2 linked regions of the Struthio camelus genome follow. The protein of the gene in region 1 interacts with the protein of each later gene in a pairwise test. Links are inferred from orthologs where the notes say so. Each region holds a gene or a part of one and is shown on either strand. Other genes may lie near its edges. The genes, in order: EXOC2 and RALB.

Region 1 (11,236 bases):
ATGTGGTTTTGCAAATATGTGTATATGTGATACACCTACCGTAATCTGATCAGCCTTGATTATTTACTGTTATACATCAGTTGTCAAAAAAACTGTCCCCATTGTACTACATATTACACAATTGTAACAGCAAAATGCATCTGGCCCCAAAGTGCTTGAAAAATAAAACTGTGTTCCTGCAAGGAATTACACAGGCACGTGGAACTGCAGACTGGTAGCCACTCCGGCAAGCAAACACTCGTAGCGGCAAACTCCTGGCCAGCCTTGGGCTGCTTGTCACCTCCTCTCTCCACAGAAACGCTGCCACCTCAAGTGTCCACAGAGCCATTTAAACAACAGGAGAGGTATGGTCACTTCTAGTGGAGGAGCAGCAGGGGCATGTGGGAGATACTGAACTGTCCTAAATGTACACTTCCGTTCCACATAGGAGATATAATCACTGCCCTGACTCAAAATAATTTCAGAAGTCAGTGAAAAACTCTGAGGAGAAGCTTTTCCATGTTTATTCCTTAAAATATGAAAACAAAAGCAGTCGTGCCAGACTTTGGGACAGAATTTCGCCTGAGATTGCAACGACAGAAAATGTAAAATGGTCTATTGAACTGGTATTTTTTTCCTTTGAGAAAGAAATGTGCCATAATTTTAAGTAGTTTTAGCTTTCAATTTTTTTTTTGGATCTACTTTTTTAAAATACACATAAGTGATGAAGGTTAGTTCCAAGAAGTATTTAAACGGATGCAACTTACTACTGACATCCTTGACAGAGCTGTAGTATACAGCATTCAGTATTTTTAGCTGCACAAAGTAAATTAATAATTTATTTCATTGGTGCTGTTTAGAGAAACAGTGCCTCTGGGTCAGTAGTGCACAGATTCCTTGGATAGGCCTTGAAAGGGAAGAATTAGGGTGGTGTTAGCCAAGAAAGTAAAACAGAGAGAGAATTTTGTGTACTGTTGGAGACGGTTTAAAATGTAAAAGACTATATTTTTTGTTTGATGTGGAAAATCTGACTGTATGTGTTCTGGAGGAAAACTCAAAATGTTATGTGCATTAATTTATATTTTGTTTCTCTTAAAGCATGCCAGAAATCATCTGGGGGCAAACACTGATCAGTAAGTTGTTTCTCTCTCTCTCGCCTTCCAGCTAAGATAAATATATTTCACTTCATAATGAGGACTTCTGGCTTAAAATCCTAGATAATGGTCAAAATGCTGCCAAGGTTAAAATGCCAAAAAGAATTTACTTCTGGACCTATTTATTTAAAAAAGAAATAAAAGCATAAAATTTAAGTAGCTCACTTCCTGGATGTTGGTTTCAGAACATATATCCAGGTGATTTTCAATTAGGAGGAAGCAGAAAGCAGCTGGCCTTGGGTATTAAATGCAACACAGGAAATATGCCTGGACTTGGGAATATTTGTATGAATTTTGCATAAAATATACGGCAACTGCTAAAAGCCAACATCTGCAAGAATGTTCCGTCTATGGATCAAGGGGGAAAAAAAAGCAAAGTAGAAACAGCAAAGTGAAGAAACCTTGTGCAATGATTATAGATTTCCTACAGCAGGTAAAGAAGGGTTGGGCTTCTTGGCTCTGCTCCTGGTTCTACTACCATAACTTTGGCAAGTTACTGACCTCTGGTTCAGAAGACACCACTCGTTGGCGTGGAACTAGCCCTGTTGATTTCAATCAGGTTTAAAATTACGTACACATAGAAAAAAAGGAGGAGCTAGAGAATTATAGATCGTATAACCTCAGTCTGCAGAAATAATCGCGCAAACAATCTGTTAGTGTTAGAAGAAAACGTGACATGGATTTGTCACAAACAACTTCTGTCAAACCAATCGGATTTCCTTTTACAATAAGGTAATAGGTGTTGTACACAGGGAAGAAGTAGGAAAATGTCAGGTATCTTCATTCTAGTAAGGCATTTGTGAATGTTTCCCAAATGTAAGAAAAGACATGTATGTTCTGGGTTGAAAATCCGACAGGATTGGAAAAAGAATAGTTGGGGAAGAGTTAGCAAAACGGTACACTATCAAAATGGAAAGAGATAGTGAAAGATTTTCCTGCAGGGTCTATCCTGAATCTGATGCTGCTTATTAAACATCTGAATAATAGAAGAAATTAAGCTTGTTACAGTTGCAGAGGACATGAAGAAGAGAGCAGCTAATAGTGTATTAGAGAAGAGAATTAGAATTAAGAGTGATTTTGACAAACTAGAGAATTTGTTTAAATAAAGCCAAAGAAGACAGTACTCGATAGGTGCAAGCGTAGTATATTGCACACAGAATCATCCATTCCCCAGAAACAGGAAGGGAAAAAGTAAACATGGTTACAGTTGCATAGAAAAAGATGTAGAGTGAATCACAGGCCAAACACGAGTCAACATTGTTATGCTGTTGTCAAAAGGCAAATGCCGTAAAAGCATGTAGGAACAGGAAGATAGCCTGCCAAATGTGCAAAGCAATTGTTTTGCTCTGCTCACCAATGGTGAGACTTCAGCTGGAACTAATTCTCTTTTAAATGTTTTTCACCTGGAGCACACTTGGCTTTGGGCATTGCATTTACAGAATGACATTGAATGATTGGAGAAGAGTCCAGAAGAGATCAAGCTCGATTACCAATCTAGAAAATATAAAACATGAGGAGACTAATGGGACTGTTTGGCCTAAAGAGGAAAAGAATGTAGAGGGGACAGAGTCTTTAAACACGTAAGAGGCTGGTTCAGGGAGGAAGCAAACAGTCAGTCTGAGTCCAGTGAAGACAGAACTATCAGCAACAGACTGAAATTGCAATAAGGAATATTCAGGTTACACATTAGGAAAAATGCCCGTAATGATAAGGGTAGTAAAGCAATGGAATATATTGCCTGAGGAGATGATAAAAGCACCATACTGAGAAGTCTCTAAGAACAAGACTGAAAAAACATTTATGCTATAACAAAGGAATAGTTGATCCTATCTTGCGGTAAGGAAAAGGACGAGAAAAGATGATTTCTCGATATCATTTTCAGCCTTATGAGCCTTAGCTTTTTTCTGTTCCTTAGATTTCACTAATTCACTAATAATATTAAACTCACAAAAGCAAATACAAGCATGGAGAGTTCTGTTTTTGATGTTCCCACGTCAAGAAAAGAAGGGTGACAGCTGTAAGTTTGAAAGCCTACGGGAAGGAAAACAACATTTCTCTGGAATGGCTGTTACACAGTAAGGAATCAAAATTGAATCCATATAGTTTATCAAGAGAAGATGAAGGAGTGAATCCACTATATTTTACAAGTATCTTCAAAAGGAAGACATTTCCGATAACAAAAAGCAATCTAGGAGCAGAAAAATGCAACAATCAGATGCTGAAGCTAGACAAATTTAGCTTTCAAATAAAATTTATATTTGTGTCCATTATTTTTTTCATGTTAGGGTGACTAATCACTGTTAAATCTCAGGAAATACAGCGATGCATTTCCCATTTCTCCCACTCTTTAAAATCAAACGTAGATGTCTAAGAAACAACCACACGAAGAGCTTGGTTTGGGAATGGCTGCAGGAATGTCTACAGCTTTTAATATTCAGGTTAGACAAGATGATCACAATAATGCCTCTTGGCTTTCAAATCTGTTTATCCAACTTTGTAAAGAGATGTATTGTTTGCAGATCACTGTCAAATCTGCATAAATGGATTAGCAAAAGGCATGGATGAGCAATTACTTTTCTGACCTCTTTGAGGTATAATACACTTACTATTTACCAGGACATTATGTTACAACTTGTCATTTCTTTCCTCAATTTTAATAGCATAGATTAATCTCTTTAATGGTGCCTGGAGTTCCATGGAGTAATATATTTATATTAACAGCATTATACACGACAGCATATATATATACTACATATTATGATCTCTCATATTTATGAGATATATACATATATGGATGGATGGATGAATGGATATAATAAGAGCACTAATTTTCCTCCATTTGTCCTGAAGATATGTGAGGCAGGGTTTATTTTCTCCACTGGGTCCAATCCATAGTCAGTTACTGTCACCTTTGTTTTGGAGACACTGAATGGGGAGGTGATGGTAACCACATGGTCATTGTACATCAGCTGGAAAAAAATACCCACTGTAGATTCAGTGAAGCGCTGCACACAGGAGCGCTCCTCATCGGCTGCCTTATCCAGGCCCCCTGGAGATCATAAAAGTCCTAGATGCCACTGTTGGCAGTAGGAGAATTTGCGTATGTGTATGCCTGAGATGAACCTACATATACTATAGGTAAGGTTTCTGTTGTTGCTGAGTTTACTCGGGTTGTGCTGTTCTGACAGGTTCACCAGGACAAAGATCTGAACAAAAATATGGCCAAGCAGCAGCTGAGAAAAAGCTTGTTTAAACCTCTAAAAATGAAGGGAAGAGAGCTACTAAATTCTGGGCTGTTTATTGCAAAATCTTCTCCGCAGATAGCTCCTTTATGGACCCCCACTAAAGTCAACAGGCTTTTTTGGGCACAGGTATCCACTCACAGAAAGCATTTGGCAGGGCTAGGACCCAAGTGTGTACAGTATGAGACGGTGCCTTCTGTATCAACCAAACCTTTCAATTTAGTGGTTTTATTTGGCACATCTGCTGACAAGCTTCTAATGAGATGATGCTAACAGAATGTCATGAAAGAAAAGCATCATTTTGAAACGGGTGGCAAATAGATTTTTTTTTTTAATGTCATGCCAACTTTACTTTTTGTGCCAACTTTTCTTAACCTCATATTTGCAAAAAAACTGCTGAGTCACAAATAATAACTTTGGAAATTATTAGGGACAGGTACCAAACACTCTCATTGTTCCCCAGATGGATGCTATGTGCTGACTTAAACGAGCAAGAAGAAAGAGTCAGAAAAGCACTGTTTGTTCATGTGCTGAGATATTACAGCCTAGTAACGTAGCTTGGGCAACTCTCACCTCTGGAAAAAAAAGTCAGAGAAATAACTTTTCTTGGCCATAATGCTTCTTGAAAGTTCTTTGAGGTTTTATGAAAGTTAATTTATTTTCCCACAAAGTATATGTTAGGTCAAGGTCAGTGAAACTGAGCAACTGATTATTCCTTCTGTGTTTGCTTTCTGTTTTCCCTCTCCTTTCCACTTAGACTCCATCTGAACTGGGTTTTTACAGATGAATTCCAAACAATCCTAGCAAAAATGGAAAAAGGACAATCCTCCTGTCCCTTCCCAAAAAGGAAAAGAGCCTCTGTTCAGAGGTGTCTTGGGGAGACAGCAGGTTTAGTTAAAAATATTCTAATTTTTTTCATTGCAAAATGAAGATTCTTTTGCATTACTTAGCTCTAACAGATAGCATTGCCTGCCTGCTCACTTGGCTGCCAGACAGCCCAGGCTTCCCCAGCATCCACGGCAGCTGTATCCTGTTTCTGACCAGCTCTGCGGAGACTGCGGTAGTTCCAGAAAGTCGCTGCCTGGGGTGGGGTCAGCCCATTAGAGGAATAACCTGAAAAAAAGCTTCCATAAGTCTCCTAAAGCAGAATTTTACAGGTTTCCCCCCTTCAGTTCTGAGGATATATATATATTTCTGACAGATCGGATGAAAAATCTTGTTATCGCTCCTGACCTCAAAATAAAATTTAAAGGGGAGGGAAATTCCAGCTTGTTGTCCAGCTCAGGCCATTCAGCATTTTAGAGACTGAGCAACTTAAACTATACTCAGAAGAACCATGCAGGCAGTGCAGTGTTGCTGTAAATAAGCTCAGGGCTAGATCTGCTATGCACTTAACTATACGCAAAGTCTGACAGAGCTGTATGCCTGACTCTACTCATCTGGGGAGTAATGGGAGAAGGGTCAGACACAGCAAGGTTAGGCCAGAAATGCCCACTTTAGGTCTGGCTGGGATAGATCCTTTGGGGTTTTTTTTGTTTTATTAATAAATTTTAAAGTGATTTTCTGAAGAAGAATATTTGCAAACCAAAAAGTCACCCCGCGGCTACACCTCGACTCTGGACTTGCCTCCAAAGGCAATTGATACCGACGTTTTTATCTGGACACAGGCACAAGTGGTCCCCAGCCCTGGAGGCACCATGGCCATCCCTTTCCGTGCCGTGACCACACCTGCAGTTTACAGACAAAACTCAGGCATGAGGCGACCAAGAGAAGCAAGAAAACCAACCGCCCCACCAACCAACTGCCCTGCTCTCCACCCCCACGCATGTTTCTTCTTCCCCACCTTCCTCCCGCACACAGTCAAACAGCCCCCAAAGTCCCAGGCCCGGAATCTCATGCCAAAAACACGGAGGTCCCCAAATTCCACACACTTCTGGAAGAATTTCTGCTTGCTGCAACCTCGATACAGCGCTCGGGGAAAACCAAATCTTTATTATTGTTACTTCTATTACGTTTTGTGCTTTTTCATTACTCTGTTTCACCTCCTTTTCCACAAGAGGACCAACTCTTGGTGCTCGACGGCACCTTTATTTGCTGGCTGCTTGTTTCCAGTGTGTGCGGGGGGGTGAGGGGAAGGGAGGTGTGGGGTGTGAAGCGGAGCACGGCGGGGGGTGGGTTTGGGGTGTGCAGGACGGCAGGTGTGGGCTGTGAAACTGTGGGGTGTGAAGTGGTGTGGGGGGGGCAGGTGTGGGGTGTGAAGCGGTGCGTAGGGGGCCGGCGTGGGGTGCGTGGGTGGATGTGGGGGGCTTGGGGTGTGCGGGGGGCCGGTGTGGGGTGCGTGGGTGGATGTGGGGGGGGCCGCAGCCAAGGCTCCCTCCACCAGCCCGACTCCGCCAGACGCCACGGTCTGCGCCTTTAAGGGGGCGGGGCTTGGGAGCACGACGGCCGTTGGGAGCGGCCGCTTCTCCTCGATTGCTCCGGGTTCCATCGATTTTATCGGGCAGCGGCTGCAGGTGCCTGTGTCTGCCGGACGCGGAGGCGCTGCTGGGAGCGGAGCTGCCCCAGGTGCCGGATACAAACTCGGCGGCAGCGGCGGCGGCGGCCGGTGAGTGACAATCTGTGGCCTCCCGCCCCCCTGTGCTTCCGCTGGGCTCTGCGGAGCCGGCTCTCAGCGGGGCAGCTCCGGCTTCTTCCCCCCGCTGGGGCGGAGACCGTTGCCCTGCCGTCGGCAGCCCCGTCTCCTTCCTCCCCTCCCGGGGGAAAGGGGGGGGGGTCGGGCTGGCGCCCGCCGGGCGGGGTTGAGTGCCGCGTTCCAAGCCCCGCCCCTGCCTCGGGAGCGGGGACGGAGGTGCCGTTAACGGCCGTTGGGGCCGGGGCGGGGGGAGGTGGAAGGAGTCGTTTGTTCTCTGCCGTCTCGCGCTTTGAGGCCTCCCTCGAGGCACCTGCTGGCTCCGCCCCGCCCCAGGGGTCCGCCGCTACCTGTCCGCCCCGGCTTGTCTGCCTGAGACTCGGCCCTGGGCGGGGGGAAGGGGGACGGCCGGGCCGCCTGGCGGGGGAGGGAAACTGTGACTGCCCGGCTTCAGCAGCCCGCCTGCCCTGCCCTGCCCCCAGCCAGCTGACGGGAGGCAGGGCACCGCTGACAGGGCAAGGAGATGCGGGCTCGTTTGCGGCCCCTCCGGGAGGGGAGGGTGCGCCCGCGGTGTCTTGCTCCCAGCTGGGTGTTTGTGTGGGGGACGGTGCCCGGGAGAGGTTACACTCGAGCCAGGTAGTGCTCTGTCTCGGCTCTATACCGAGAGGGAGCTTGTGAGGGAGCTCTTTTCGGGGGCTTGTGGGACAGGCCCTGAAAGCCTGCGGACAGAGTGTCATGTAGAGGGTTTTACCCGTTTCATTCCTCACAATGGTCTCTCGGGAACACTGTAAAGTTGCTTCTGTTCCGCCTTGGTTATACCCTGAACTGAGACTTGTCTAGAACGACCTTAAATTATTATTGTGACCGTGTTGGGCACGGGCAGTAGAGGAAATAAGCAGGGGAGGGCACGGTCTGACTCCTGAAGAGCTGGTTACTCGAGGGTCTGATTTCTTAAATCCACATTCAGTGGTACGGCAAGTTTTCAGAAACTGCTTACCGAAATAAATGCACAATTAGGCAAATATAATAAGAAGACAGTATAATGTAGTTTGTTTGGAACAAACCAAAATAGCATATAATGATTAAGAGATGATTACTATCATTGATAACTAACTGGTAGTGATACATTGCCTCCACATGATACATTTTTTTGTGACCTTTTTTTTTCTTTTTTTGTCCTTTCTGCCCAGATGTAAATTTCTCCCTCACTTGGACAGCATTGCAGTCCAGAAGGGTCTATGAGCTGGTGACCAAACGTCTTCCCTCCCTGCTTCTCCAATATTTTAACTGGGAAGCTGAATAGGATATTTTTTCAGGGGGAATGGATGTCTGAGCACGGGAATGACCCTGTTTCCAAAGGAGAGCTTGTCATTCTCTCCAGGTTCACTGCTTGCTCTTTGTTAGATTAACAGTTTTTAACTATATACTAGAAAGCTTTGAAGTGAAAGCCAATAAAGTATTAAGCAATCTTAGCTCTGACAGACCATCATATTAAATCTAAAGTATGAATATCCACACTTTAAATTTTAGTTTAAAATAGTAGTCTTATTATAACTTCCCTGACTTTCTGATCATTCTTAAAATAAGTAAACTTTTTTCTTCCTGTAATGATTTGTGTGTGTTTCAGTACTATAAACCTTTTGGTTTGAATTTGCTTTTGATAAAGTCATCAGAATAGTTAAAGGGCTTCTTTTTTTTTTTTTTTTCTCTAAAGTGCAGATGAACAACTTTGTGACTTAGGAAAAAGGTCTATTTTCTTCTTCAGGTGAAGAAGAAAATAGCTGTTTGATTCTTGCTATCTGTCACAACTTGCACTGACCCAGCAAGAAGCAGCAAAAGGCGTGCCCTGCTGCTGCGTTCTTTCCCATGGATAGCTTAGTTTACAGTTTTTGTGGTTTATGCCCGCCCTCGGAAAATGATGCTTTTACTCATATGGGATTTTTGTTGTCTTAATATTCATATGAAACAGGATGCGATTACTTTCTTTATGCTAGTGTGACTTATGTCAGTAAAAATGCCACTAATTTACATTGTAATGCCAAGTTTTTTTTCCTCTGTATGGGAAATTTAGTCTTTTTAGTATGTGTCAGAGGTGAAGCTATTTAATTAAAGCATGTTACCAATCAAACGTGTGTGTTTTTTTTTTTTTTGATACAGTAAGGTAGAGTTGTCTTGGGTTTTCATGGTCTTGGTTCAGTAAATCACACTTTTTCAGAGACTTAGTTCAGACACTTAATTCTTTTATATTTGCTTTATCAGAAATTCGTAGTAAATAGCCTAAGCAATGGACATTTTTCAAAATCAATCAAAAACTCCTTTTAAGTCTAAGTCATTAACTTAAACAGCAAGAAATAACTTTAATAACTAATTCAACACCTTGTCCTTTGAGCAGTGTTTTTGTGTGCGCGTGGGGAAACTGGTTCATTTTCAGTAAAAGAGGTAACTAATGTTCACAGAATAATTTTGAATCTGTAGCATTCAGATCTTAGTATTTTGAGTAGCAGGATTTCTTGCAATTCTGAAGCATTTTTTTTTTTTGGTAGCTGTTGAGAGTTCTTGAGGCAAAAACAGACAATAAAGATATAACATGTAATCTACTGATAGTTTGCCCAAGGTCCCATTAGAAAGGATCTGTATCCACTGATAATTAATGCAGTTTGTTCTTATGCTGCTCCTCCCAATGAAGTTGAACTAAAGCAATTAAGTGGGTAGACTAGAAACACAGAGTCCACGGCCTCTTAGTGGTGAAAATTTTAAGGTATGTTGTGTTAAACCTTACTTTAATTTATTTCAATGTATTTATTCATTTAGCTGTAAATTCAGTACGTCTTAAGCACTACACTTGGAAATAAACGTCAATTTTGAGTTACTTTAATTCTATTCCTTCTGGTCTTTACCCCTGAATCTACTTCATTAAAAATAAATAAATAGAAATTGCAATAGGATGGTGACAGAAAGCTGAATGTAAAAGGTGTTTTTAAAAGCATGGATGCTGACAGCTATTCAAAGAATACATGAAACAATGTCCAGTTTTGTATTCCAGCACAAAACAGGCCTATGAAAGTCTGAGGGACATTACCTGCTTGTATTTTGAATGGCTGTATGTCACTACTTAGTTATGTAAACAAAGGTACATTTAAAAAAAAAAAAAAATTCCACACAAGAAGTTTGTAGTACTTCATTTCAAAATGAAGGACTCGAAAATAGCATTTAGAAGAATGCATGTGTAATGCTGCATTTATTTCTGAGAGCTTCTCAGTAAGAGTGGAACCTGCTGGTGTACTTAAAAGTCAGCTGAAGGTTCAAAATCTTCTGAAAGAACAGCTAAGTAAATATATTTCAGCAGTAATAAGACATTCACTCTTCAGCTTTTCTTTGATTTGTCTTAGACTGTCTACTTTCTGTAAATCTGTGGTGTGTAACATTGTGTTTCAAATCGCTTTTTCTAAGAATAGGGAAAGGGTGCTTGGCAGTGAAGGAGATTTTGTTTGCAAAGGTGCTTGTAGGATGAAGGATGACTAGATAGTGCATGCACAACAATCTGTGTTTACAGCTCACAAAGTATCAATTCAGAGATAAAACTGATCTAAATTGTCTTTATACCTTAATCTGGAATTTATTCCCTATTGCTTATGTGTCTGTACTTCAGTTCAAAAGCAATTGGTTTGCAACTTGTTCTCCTGGTGTCAAAACTCTAGAGGAAGAGGAAAGGACAGGAGGGAGAATCTCATTCTGTGATCTTCTAAGAAAAGAAACCTGAAGCGATTTTTCAAAAAAAAAAATTGAGTAATTATATAAACGTGTAAAAAAAGGATTAATTGCATGATTGGTATGTTGCAGTTTGGAATAGGAAAAATAATCTTAAATATTTAATGTTTTAAGGAAAACTAAACTGAAGATCTCTCTCTCTCCAGTGTATTTTGAGTATAGGGAGAAATTATTTTTATGTTTACTTTTTATATTATTTAGAAAGTATTTAGTGCCTTTTCTTTAAAAGGAAATTGATCAGTAGCCTTTTTTAAAAAAAGAAATGTTAACTAATCAATGCAGACATTAAGTTCGACATTTTCAGTAGAAAATACTCGGATTGCACTCACAGATGGGTGTGAAATCCTGTGTTTCCTTTCCATGTTTGTTTGTTTTGTTTTTAAGGAAAACAAAACTTCTAAGACAACAAGCCCTTAATGGATCTATTTTTCCCTTGACCTTAAGGGAACTACAGATTTCCAGTT
Region 2 (11,082 bases), on another chromosome or scaffold:
GGGCAGATCATTGTCAAATGTTAGGAAAAACTGGCTGGTGAGAGCAGCATGAGGCACTGTCTCACCTGAAATGCTGATAAAACCTGGAAGCTGTAAGATGAGATCAGACTGAGCAAATACGGATCACTTCTTATTTTCCAAAGATCTGTACCTCTAGAGGTGTTGTAAGAGTGAGGAAGTGATGACAAAGAAAATCTTTTGCTGAACAGGTAGTTTTTGTCTTCCTCCCCTTTTCCCCTGAATGGGTTAAACTAGAAGCTTGTAGGGCTTGGTGAAATTAAAACAGGAACAAGCAAGTGGAGGGTTCTCGCATTCTGGCATTCGAGTTTCAGGTCCGTGACCGAAGCTGAGGTTCAGTTCGAGATTCTCAGCTCACGTGAGTGCTTTTGAACTGATGTGGGAACAGTAATCTGTACACTGCTCAGATGGTCTTGGGATTTTGGGACACAAAGATTGTGTCCAGCAGTTCAGGCTGATGTTGTGTGGGTTTGAACTAAGCAAGTTTAGTGCTTCATCACGGCAAACTGGAAGCAGGGACTTTATAAACTCCATGGTGTTAATGAGTAGTGAACATACTGAGTAGTCCCTCGACTGTTAAGATTAATGAAGGTTTTCCTTTAGCCAGAGGTGTTAGCAGCCTTGTTTTTTTGTGACAGATTTCATAGGTTTAAAACTCCTAACATTCTAGGTGCACTAGAATGCACAAAGTTAAAGTGCTGAGGTCCCGTTTGTCTCCAGATTTGTTTCAACAATATTTCGTCATAGAGAGAAGTCACAGTGAAGAGAGCTTCCAGAGACATTTTTCTGTCTGGGCCTCTTGCAAATGTGCTATTTAGGAGGTGAACACAGACACTCCAAACAGCTAAGGCTGACAGCATTTGAATTGCGTTTACCAATATTAGTGGAAAATGAACTGCGTTTGTTTTAGCTGGCAAATAATCGAGTCTTTCTATTTTGAGAGACTTTGGGAAAGCAGGGCAAAGACAAGGCAGAGCTGACCATATGAATTAGCAGGTGTGGTTAGTTAGAAGAATTGAAGAAAAAGCAGCAGTTTGGTATTTTAATTTTAATGAATGCTTATTGAATGGGAAGGTAACGACTTCTTTAGTCTCTACTTACCTTTAGCCATTGTGAGTTCTGGTTACCACATTACCACTTTACTGATTAATTAGGACAATTCAAAATGAACATAGAGTTACATGAGATTTAGACTGGATAATTTCCCTTGTGAAAATATCTAAGACAACTTAGCACTCCTGTATCGACTCAGGACTAGGAGAAAAGAGAGTGTGTGTTGAAGACAGGCTGGGACATTTCTTGCACAGACCATTAGTGGAAAGGGTAAATGGGAGAGCAGGGATTCAGCACCTGACATCCGTCACACCTAAGTCTGTTGCAGAGCTGGAACAACTTCGACCCTCTCTGTTCTCCCATAGAAACAGAGGGAAACCTGGAGAAGTATCCGTAGCTGTAGGCTTTCTGCAGGGAAGGATCTTCTGCCTTGCAAGCTGCTTGAGAGAAGCTGGCAAAGATCTTGGTATGAACTTAGCCTTTTGTGTCCGTGTTTCTCCATCTGTCAAAAAGGCATAAACGTTCCCTAATTCCCAAGGTTACTGTGAGAATTAATCAGTTAACATGTTTACGTCACTAAGCATGATTTCTGTAATATTTTCCCATTCCATTCTAAACCACCTAGACTTCAGTTCCTAGGAATACAAACTCATCTCACCCTTGTCTAAGTCTGTTTCCCTCTTTTCAGATATCCATATTCCACTTTGCTTTCTGCTACTGCAAAAAGCAGTACTTTAGGACAGCAGTGCTTTAGGACACCTGAAAGCATTTTAACAGTCGCACTGATTTTTGTTCTGAGCAATGAAATAATCACCAAAGGAAAAGTAATTCTTCTCTAGTTTATTTTCTTTTCTTTTTTATTAATGCTGGTAAATGATTTACGCTTCCTAGTGCTCATTGTTAAAATTTCTAATGATTGCTCCAACTCCTCAGTGCTATCGTGAGTAACAATCTTAGCATATGTTTATAAAGCACCTTTCAGTCCAGGGATCTTTGAGAGTTAACGGTGATCTAAACTGAGTTTAAATATATATATGTATGCATCAGTATAAATATCATGTGTGTCTGTGTTTGTATGCTGCAGGATCTGTGCCACTTGCAACTTTCTTTGGAAAAGAACACAACTGCAGACCAAAATATTTGCAGTATTTTAAATGTGATCTGTACTATCCGACTGAAATTGCACAAGGAACCTAAGAAAGCAGAATGATCTGCAGGCTCCTGTAATCAACTTCTTGCCAGCACTGCCAAGGTATTTTTAGCTATGGCACAAGGTTGAAGATTTATTTAGGGATGTAAGAGGTACCCAAATCTGGAGGTGGTGACCATTTTAATTATGGTCCTGCTGCCTTCTGGTCATCCAAGTTATCCTCCCACACACCACCTTCCTTGGCCTGAAAGCATCCCTTTCTTCTTTCCTTCCCTGCCATGATCCCTTTTCCTGCTACTCACCGCTCTCTCTCCTACTGCCGTCTATAACACTACAGTCTCAGTTTTTCCTCATTCCACCTATTGTGGTTCCCTCCAACTTCCTTCCCAAGCATCAAACTACCTCCCCATCCAGGCTGTCTACCAGATACCATATGTTAACACGGGGAAACATCCACAGTCTTGTATGTTTACAGAGGAAGGCGAGTTACCCTTTGCATGGACTGGCATCAAAATGCTGAGTTCTAAGAAGCATCTGCTCACATTTCTATCACCTATATAAATAATAACACTGCAAAACATTAAATTAGACAGCACCGTTCATATGGTACAAGGTCTCACAACATACAGCAATGAGCACTTAGAATTTCTGATAAACCTGTTACATTAAAGTCCAGTGGTAATTCAAGAACCAGCACAGGCACTACTTAGGAACTCAGCAAGTTCACAGATGACCACCAAATTGAGAGAACAGTCAACGTGCTGGAGTGCAAGGCTGCTGTTCAGAAGGATCTTGACAGGCTGAAGAAAGGAGTTGTCAGAAATCTCATGAAGGGCAAATGCAATGTCCTGCACCATCAACAGAATAACCCCATGCAATAGGCCAGGGCCAACTAGCAAAATAGAAACTTTTTTCTGCAAAAAGGCATCTGGGGTTTCTGATGGGCCACAAACTGAACACTAGTCAACAGCATGCCCTTGTGGTGATGAAGACTGTTTACTAGGCTGAATTACTAAGAGTACAGTCAAGTGGTTGAGTGAAGTGATTATTCCTTTCTATTTAGCATTTGTGAGATGATATCTGGAGAACTATGTCCAGTTTTGAGCTCTTCAGTACAAGAGAGATTGACAAATTGGAACAAGTCCAGCGGAGGGCCTCCAAGATGGTTATGTGTCTAGAGCATCTGACATAGCTGAGAGCTGTCTTTGATCAGCCTGAAGAAGAGAAGGCTGAGGAGGCATATAATTATTGCCTTCTACTGCTTAGTGGATGGAGCCAGACTATTCTCAGAGTTGCACAGTGAAAGGCTGAAAAGCAACACACACAATTGCAGCAAGAGAAATTCAAGGTAAATATACAGAAAAAATCTCTTCACAGTGAGGGTGGCCAAACCCTTCAATAGGTTGCCCAGTGAGACTGGGGAATCTCCAGCCTTGGAGATTATTCAGACCTGGGCTTGACAAGGCCCTGGGCAAACTGACCTAACATTGAAGTTAGCCCTGTTTCAAGTGGGGATTGGACCAGATGATCTCCAAAGGTTCCTTCTAACCAAAATTATTTATGATTCTGTAATTATAATTAAGTCTTGAAGGAAAATAGGGAGAAGAGGAAACACACAAGAATACAAGAGAAAGAAAGATGGTCTTCTGACAAGAAAAAAAGGAATACAAGGCAAACAAACTAGAATTGTGCACAATTAGTCTGCTTCTCATCTTGCTTGCACTGAGGTAATCCAAGGAGTCAGATGGACGTAAAATCAGTAAAGAATCAAGGACAGACTCAATGTTTGTGGTTACTCTAGGCTTCCTTCACCTGTCCAGACTCAAGGCTGATTACTAATGTGTATCTTCTCTTCAAAATATCCTCAAAGAGACTATGCTGAGATACTACCTATGTTATTTCCTGCAGATTGAGATGGGAACAGGATGCAGGCAGCACCTCCACCTCTGCAGAGCTCAGGCGGAGTAATGACTAAGGTGGCGCAGCCAGAACCTTGCTGTAGAGTCATCCTGTGGGGCAGGAGAGGAGTGAGAACAGACCAGCAGTACCTCTGCCCCCTTCATTGCAAGCAGCAGTTCCAGCTCCATCGTCCTCTGAGCATTTAAGAGTATAGACAACACACACACACACACACACACACACACACACACACACAACCAATTATAGTTGGAGTTTTACTGTGTAGATACCTGACAAATGACCAGAAATCTGAAATGTCCAAACTGAACCCAGACCTGTGACAAGTCTAGACTGTTTTGGGGTGTCTTCTGAAACCTATCATCTACTGGGTAAGGGTACGTGCAGGGTTTACAATCCTACTAAAAATCAACAGGAACAGAAATGTATTCCAATTTTTGACAGGAGAACCCTCGAATTCTACAAAAGCGAATGTACTTACTGATCTTGATTCAAACTCCTCAACCTCACCCACAATTTATTGTTTGCCCAATCTAAGATAGCACTAGCCTTTACTGCCAAGAGCAACTAAGGATGATTAATACTTGATTCTGACCTACAAATAATTGGAAAGGTCCCTAGAATCTTTAGGAACAAAATGTTTGTGTCTTTCAGTTGATTTTACTACTAGTGCTTTTCGAAGGTTTATTTAGGGGACATATCACCATTAGATGAACAAGTATTGATAATACCAACAGTTGTTTAATAACTATTAAGTATAGTTCTTCCACTAAAACAAGTTCCTGAAATTGAAAGTCCGCTAGCAAAGGGCACAAACAGAACAAGAAACCTGGCACCAAAACATTTCTGTTCAAACAACAGAACTGAGAGAGCGACACCCTCTTGCACAGCTCAGTAGAAAGGGCTGGGCTGACAAATAGTGAAACGTGCAAAGCCCAATCACTAAACTGCTTTAGTATGATAAGGTTCCCCCAGTCCAAGCTTGTATTTAAACCAAAAACCAATACAGGCGCTTGAAAATGATAGTGACCTCTAGTATATCACTCTGTCCTAAACTCATGGGTGGCTTCATGCTGAATCTGAGATGAATTGCATTAAAAAAAAAAAATTAACACAAAAAAAAAATTGGAAAGGCAAGCACAAAGCAATAACAGAATTTAGCAATTCCAAACACAACATAAAAATGTTATGTGCTCGAAGGCTGTACTAAATTTTCCGCTGAGAGTGTATTATGAGATCATAACAAAAACAAAAATATCCTGACAATTTGAGAGAAAAAATGAGTGACTTATTAGACCTATTGATAAAGCTGGAAAGAACAGATGAGCTTCCAGGCATGCAGGTGCTTCTTTGGATCTGAAATAGAAACAGCAAACTTCAAAGCTAAATCCAGGTTAAGAACAATTGTGCTGAGTTAGAACATGTGCTTTGCTTCAAAATGTTTTTTTTTTCTTTTTTAAGGGCTATAAATGATGATTTGGGAAATAGATTTGTAATGATATAGCATTGTAAATGGGTTATTTTTTCTAAAGTAGGCTTTAAATTAGAAAGGGATCTAGGGGATAAAATTTGCCCTAGCAAAACCACAGTGATTTTCAGTGAGATTTACAAGCCTATTTGCTTACGTTGCTTTAGAAAAATCTTAACGAGATTCCCAAGCCACTTGGGTGCTTTATAAAGGTTTTACTTCCACTGCGAAAGGCAATAAACAGGTCAGGGTACTGCCAAGGAATGGCTACGCATGGGTCCTTGTGGTCGAACCCAACAGCGGCTACAGAGGGGCAACATTGCTGGGGGCTGGCAGGAATATATGCCTGAATAGCTCCAGGAACAAAATCAAAGCCTAAGATCAGACATAAGCACAGACAACGAACAGTGACATAGAGCAGTAAACTGCGCTCTGAGGTTGCTCAGCCGTAATGCATCTTTTAGGCTAGTCCTAGTAGCAGTGTAAATATTGTTTTCTAAGTTTGTCATTTGAATTTATTGTAACTTTTCATTAGAGGGCAGGGAGGGGGAAGCAGAAAAGTACTTTTCTGACATCAGCCATTCAGGAATTTTTGAAGCTGTTACTTTTTCAATCATCTCCGACAGTTTCCTTGTTTTCAGAATGAGCACATGATATCATATCCTGAGCCCTTCCCTTTTCTTGCAGCTTTCTGAGGCACTAGGAGGAGTCCAGCCACAGTCATCCTGTGAACTGGTGTGGAGCAGTGTTGTGGAGCTGCCTCTGCCTGCCTTGTTCCCGCTCCCAAAGAAAGAGCTGCTCTAGGACCGACGACCCCGCCAAGCACAGTGAGTATCAGCTAAGAAAGCAAACAGTCAGTCCAGCTTGTCGAGTTGCATCAGGGGAAGATCATGCGCGTATCTATTTATGTACGGGCGTAGTTAAGGACGCAAAGGCAAGTGAAAGGAGAACACACTTTTATTTCCCATCACTGAAGTGAGAAGAGAAAGGCGATTCCTGGCCCACCTGGGGTGAGCAAACAGGATAGAGCAATGGAGGAGGCTCCCAGGGTGCCAAGACTGGACTATGGGTAGGTGCTAGTTGCAGGAGGGGTACAAGGTGCATTTACTCGGCAAGGCAATATAGCATTCGCTGTGGACAGACAGGAAAAAACAACTGCTAAATGTACACGCAAGCAGCCCTGAGTGAGCACGTGGCATTGTATTAACGCTATATGACACGTATCTCTTGTTTATTCTTAATTATGTTTGACTTCATGAATGCAGTAGTGCTAGCTAGTAATAAACAACAACAAAAAAAAGAGAATAGAAGAGCTAGTTTCCTGTAGTAATCCCTGCTCATCCCTAAGCCATACAGGCCAAGTAAACATATTAACAGTGAGTCATTGGCTCTTTTTAGTATAACTGCATAATCTTTTTGTCGTTGTTCTTGTTGTTATTTCTGTGCTTTTCCATCTTAGCCTTTTAGCTCTGTAACACAGAATGAAAGAAGGGCTAAATGTAAAGTCTCTGCCATTCTGAGGGAGGGTCTAAATTTTTATCTTCGATGTCTCTGCAATGCTAACTTAGTAGAAACTAGTTACACAAACTATATATTTATAGTTATATTTGTGAAATGTAAATAGCTTAATAGTATAATGTTCCAGAATTCACAGCATAAAGAATGTTATAATTAAAGTGAATAATCCATCTGCATGTATATCTACCAAATTATATTGTAGAAGTTATGTATTCAGATAGAAAGTTGCTCTTAAAGGGATAGAAGCCTTGGGTTTTTCCTGTGAACACTGCTGTCGTAGAGTAACACACACCAACTTCACTCCAAAGGTTTGTAAAAGGTTTGTGAAACAAAGTAGGGATCGCACTTTACATGAAGGCCTCGCTCTGTTTTGAGTGGAACCAACAGAAAGCTCTAGTGCTGTTTTTGTGAATAAATAAGATAACAATAACTGGCTTCGGAAAAGTGCCAATCTGTTGTGCCTTTTCCCCAGACAGTCTTTGGTGATACAAGCAAGCCATACAGGGAACGTGTCGCCCTTGAACATGTCATTGATCACGCTACTTTATCCATTTTTTTGTTTGCTCACTGTGGTTTTGATCATCTCATTGACACAACAACGTTAGTTGCTTTTCATTATTTTAGCCGTATTGTGAGCTTTCCAGTAAAGAAATGTACGGTGGAGAATCACCTTCAATTTAAAGGCTGCTGGACCCTCTTCTATTGCTGACAGAGTTAATTTCCTGCCATTTCCTGCAACGTGGTTATTGTAAGAGTGGAAAGATACTAAAAATGGGCTAGTGAGCTGCTTGCCTAGTTTAAGTAAAGTTGAGAGTTTTGTACTCGGCGCGATAATTAGCCCATCTACTGCCGAAGTCTGCCTCCGACAGTGACTTCTACTAGAGCCTCCTGATAAAGATGCATGTCAACCAAGCGCTGCTTTTCATTCCCCTTAGAGGTAAATGTGCTCATGGATCATAACAGGGAACGTTTACCTTAGTCTTTGAACTATGTGCCCTACTAAAGAATGACCATTTATTTTTACTGTTAGTTATAGTTTAGTCAGTGTCTCGTTTGTGGCTATACGTTTTTCCAATTTATAAACTCTCGTCAAGGGCTTCACCGGCAGGTTTTTCTGTAGTTAATTATTTTGTTGTCATGGTTAAAAAATTCACAGATGAAAGAGATGTGCGTTTCCTTTATAGAAACTGCCCAGCTCTGCTCTTGTATCCTGTTTACATATGTGTTTAATAATAAATTTTCTGCCACCTTCCATCCAAGAACTTTTAGGTGAGCAGCAAATGTTTAATTAATTAATCTCACACAGAACTTGTGAGGTGGGTTCCCTCATTTTACAGGTGAGACAGAGAGTGAGACAGTTAAATTAAATGACTTAATATCACACAGTGAGTCACAGTGCTAAAGCTGAAAATGGAACCAGCTTATGCCTCCTGGTTCCTTGCCCTGTATTTTAATCATCGAGCCAGACTTAACTCTGAAGTTGAGAGAACTTCTTAAATGACTAAAATAATTGTTCCCAGTTGCACAGGGGATTGTTACGTTATAATTCTCTTAAGCAGCTAAAGCGCTTGCTATCTTTGGTTAGGACATTTTTAGTCTTTCTTGCTCAGATGTAGCTTCAGGTTATAGCTGGACAAATTCTGTTTACAATAATATTGAACTTTAAAAGTACTCTTAAACACATCTCCGCTAAAAAACAAGGAACACAAAACTGACAGCAGTCTCTTTGCTTTCAATGTAGCAATGCCTTTTAGCACATTCTCAACAGCAGTTCCACAAAGCGATATCCACCACTTTAATAAATGGAGCATAGTAAAGTTATTGCCCAGCAGAAAGCAAAAGATATAAACTGTTGGATATGCCGTCATGACTAAATGAAAACGTAGCCTGAAGCGCAGAAGAGCAATTGCATCTCAAGCAGTATCTGCTTAGATGTGCAGTTCTGAACTACGTGCTGTGTCATCTCTGAATAAACCAGTACAAAAAGGGATACAATCCTTAAAAATATGTTTAAGTGAATAGTATCTGGGTTCAGGCTAATGGTATGCCTAATATACCAGGCCAATGGTATAACAAGAAAGTATATAACAAGATAATATATAACAAAAGCTTTATAGCTTTGCTGAGCATAGTCCACATATTTGTTTGTGCTGCTGTGACATAGATAGCTTTTTCCAGTCCTCGCTATCTTACCTGTTTGGTAGTGGGTACCCACTTCTTTTCTGTATAGGACCAGAAAATATTTATGTAGGCAAAAGAGAGAGAGAGAGAGTCAGGAAAGGGAATGGAGGAATAATATTGCTGTGCCTTGCTCCCTATTAAACCTGAGTATAGACACAGCTGTCTGTTATGCAAGCTCATCCAGTGCTTAGTATCATACAATATTTCTGGCATGTGCAAGACAAGCAGCACAAGACTGTGGCCAGCTCCTAGATTTTTATAAGAACTTTTGCCATATATAATGCGTAGGACATTGCTGGGCAAGCAGCCTGCCATCTTAATTGCAAGTTAACAACAAAATACCTTAAAAATTCAACTATTTCATTGCTGAATGCAAATTGCGCTCCTAAGTGGTGAAATCAGTCGATAAGTTTTGGCATGCTATATGGCAGCAACTCAAAAGCACTTTAACATGTTGTATTTGTAAAGAAACAGGAGAGACACATTTAGCCTGCTAAATTGAGGGTTAGGCTGAAGGTGCAAGGTAAGAAGCCAACAAGAGAAGCTCCAGGAAGGCCATTCTGTCTCCTCCCCAAGGTCAATGCTCCTAATTTACCATGGTGTTTTCCTTTTGGGTCTATCTTCTCTTTAACTGTGAGCATATTTTACGCTTGTCACTACGGATCGGTCATCAGTAGTCAACTGTCATTGGTCAGAGTTCTGCTCCAGCTTCTCTTTCGGTTTCGGTTAGAGACAAAGGTGCTTTTCTCACCGACTTCAGAAAGCGCGTCTGTGCCTGCCAGGGCTTAGAGGTGCTGCCTCACAAGGGAGTTGCTGAAAACCACACATGAATTGTCCGGCACAAAGTGGGCAGAAGAAAAGATTTCCGTGACTCTTACAGACTTTGAAACCAAATCAAAGCACTACAAATAACTGAAAATATTTCTGTGACTATTCACTCATGTCCCCTTTTATCTATAGCTCCTATGACTAACCCACCAAATGTGAGCAACGGTAATAATGTTTGAGGAGCTGCAAATGTTAATTGCACAGTAGGTAATATTTGTGAAACACAAGGTTTGAAATTATAGATGTGTCTAGCTGTTCTCTTCCAGTTTAGGAATAGAAACAATACTCTGTGGTCTGTGTGTCTGTTCGAAACTAACCAAAACCGTAGAAATGTTACAAATGAAATACGTGTGTGTACAGTCCCGGGGCAGAGAATCGCTTTCCGCAACCGTTCAGCTAATAGCTATGAAGGATGAGTCAGCTTGAGAAAATCAGAAATTGTTCACGGACAGTCTGAATGAGAATGGCGAATTTATAGTTTATTATCTCATTTGACAAGAGGTCTGACAAAACATGGGCCTTGAACTGTGGATGTAGAAAGAGTTATACTTGCTTCATCTATTATTGAGGAGAGGGTATAACAAGCCAACCTCTATCATTAATTGGACGTTGTGCCATTTTAAACATTAAATTTATTTAATAACCCATTTTCAGTGAAAACCTGAATGCATCTCATCTACTTTGGTAATCTCATTACTAGTCATTGCTCTTATATAGACTTATCACTGTCTTTTTCTACTGATTCAGCACAGAGAGGAAACGTTTTGGGAACGTCGGTTCTTTGCAGCAGTGGGGATTATAGGCATGGCAACTATAGGTGTTTTTGAAAGATATATGCTTATTTTATTTCATTCCCTGTAAGAGAGTGAGAGGAAAACTGAGGTACTCTGAAGCATTAATGTAATAAATACCTTGTTATGTAGATATGATTTGCAGAATTGAGAAAGCA

The links.
Region 2: the proteins of EXOC2 (region 1) and RALB interact in a two-hybrid assay, tested with the Homo sapiens proteins (2 studies listed by BioGRID). The link is inferred for Struthio camelus from reciprocal best matches to the Homo sapiens genes EXOC2 and RALB.

The regions. Positions count from the first base shown.
Region 1 is NC_090943.1:104,984,636-104,995,871, reverse strand, and holds the start of EXOC2 (exocyst complex component 2), read left to right. Parts: upstream 1-6,845; 5' UTR 6,846-6,980; intron 6,981-11,236. UniProt on the Homo sapiens protein: Component of the exocyst complex involved in the docking of exocytic vesicles with fusion sites on the plasma membrane.
Region 2 is NC_090947.1:32,121,930-32,133,011, forward strand, and holds the start of RALB (ras-related protein Ral-B), read left to right. Parts: upstream 1-6,293; 5' UTR 6,294-6,433; intron 6,434-10,846; exon of another isoform or gene 10,847-11,082. UniProt on the Homo sapiens protein: Multifunctional GTPase involved in a variety of cellular processes including gene expression, cell migration, cell proliferation, oncogenic transformation and membrane trafficking.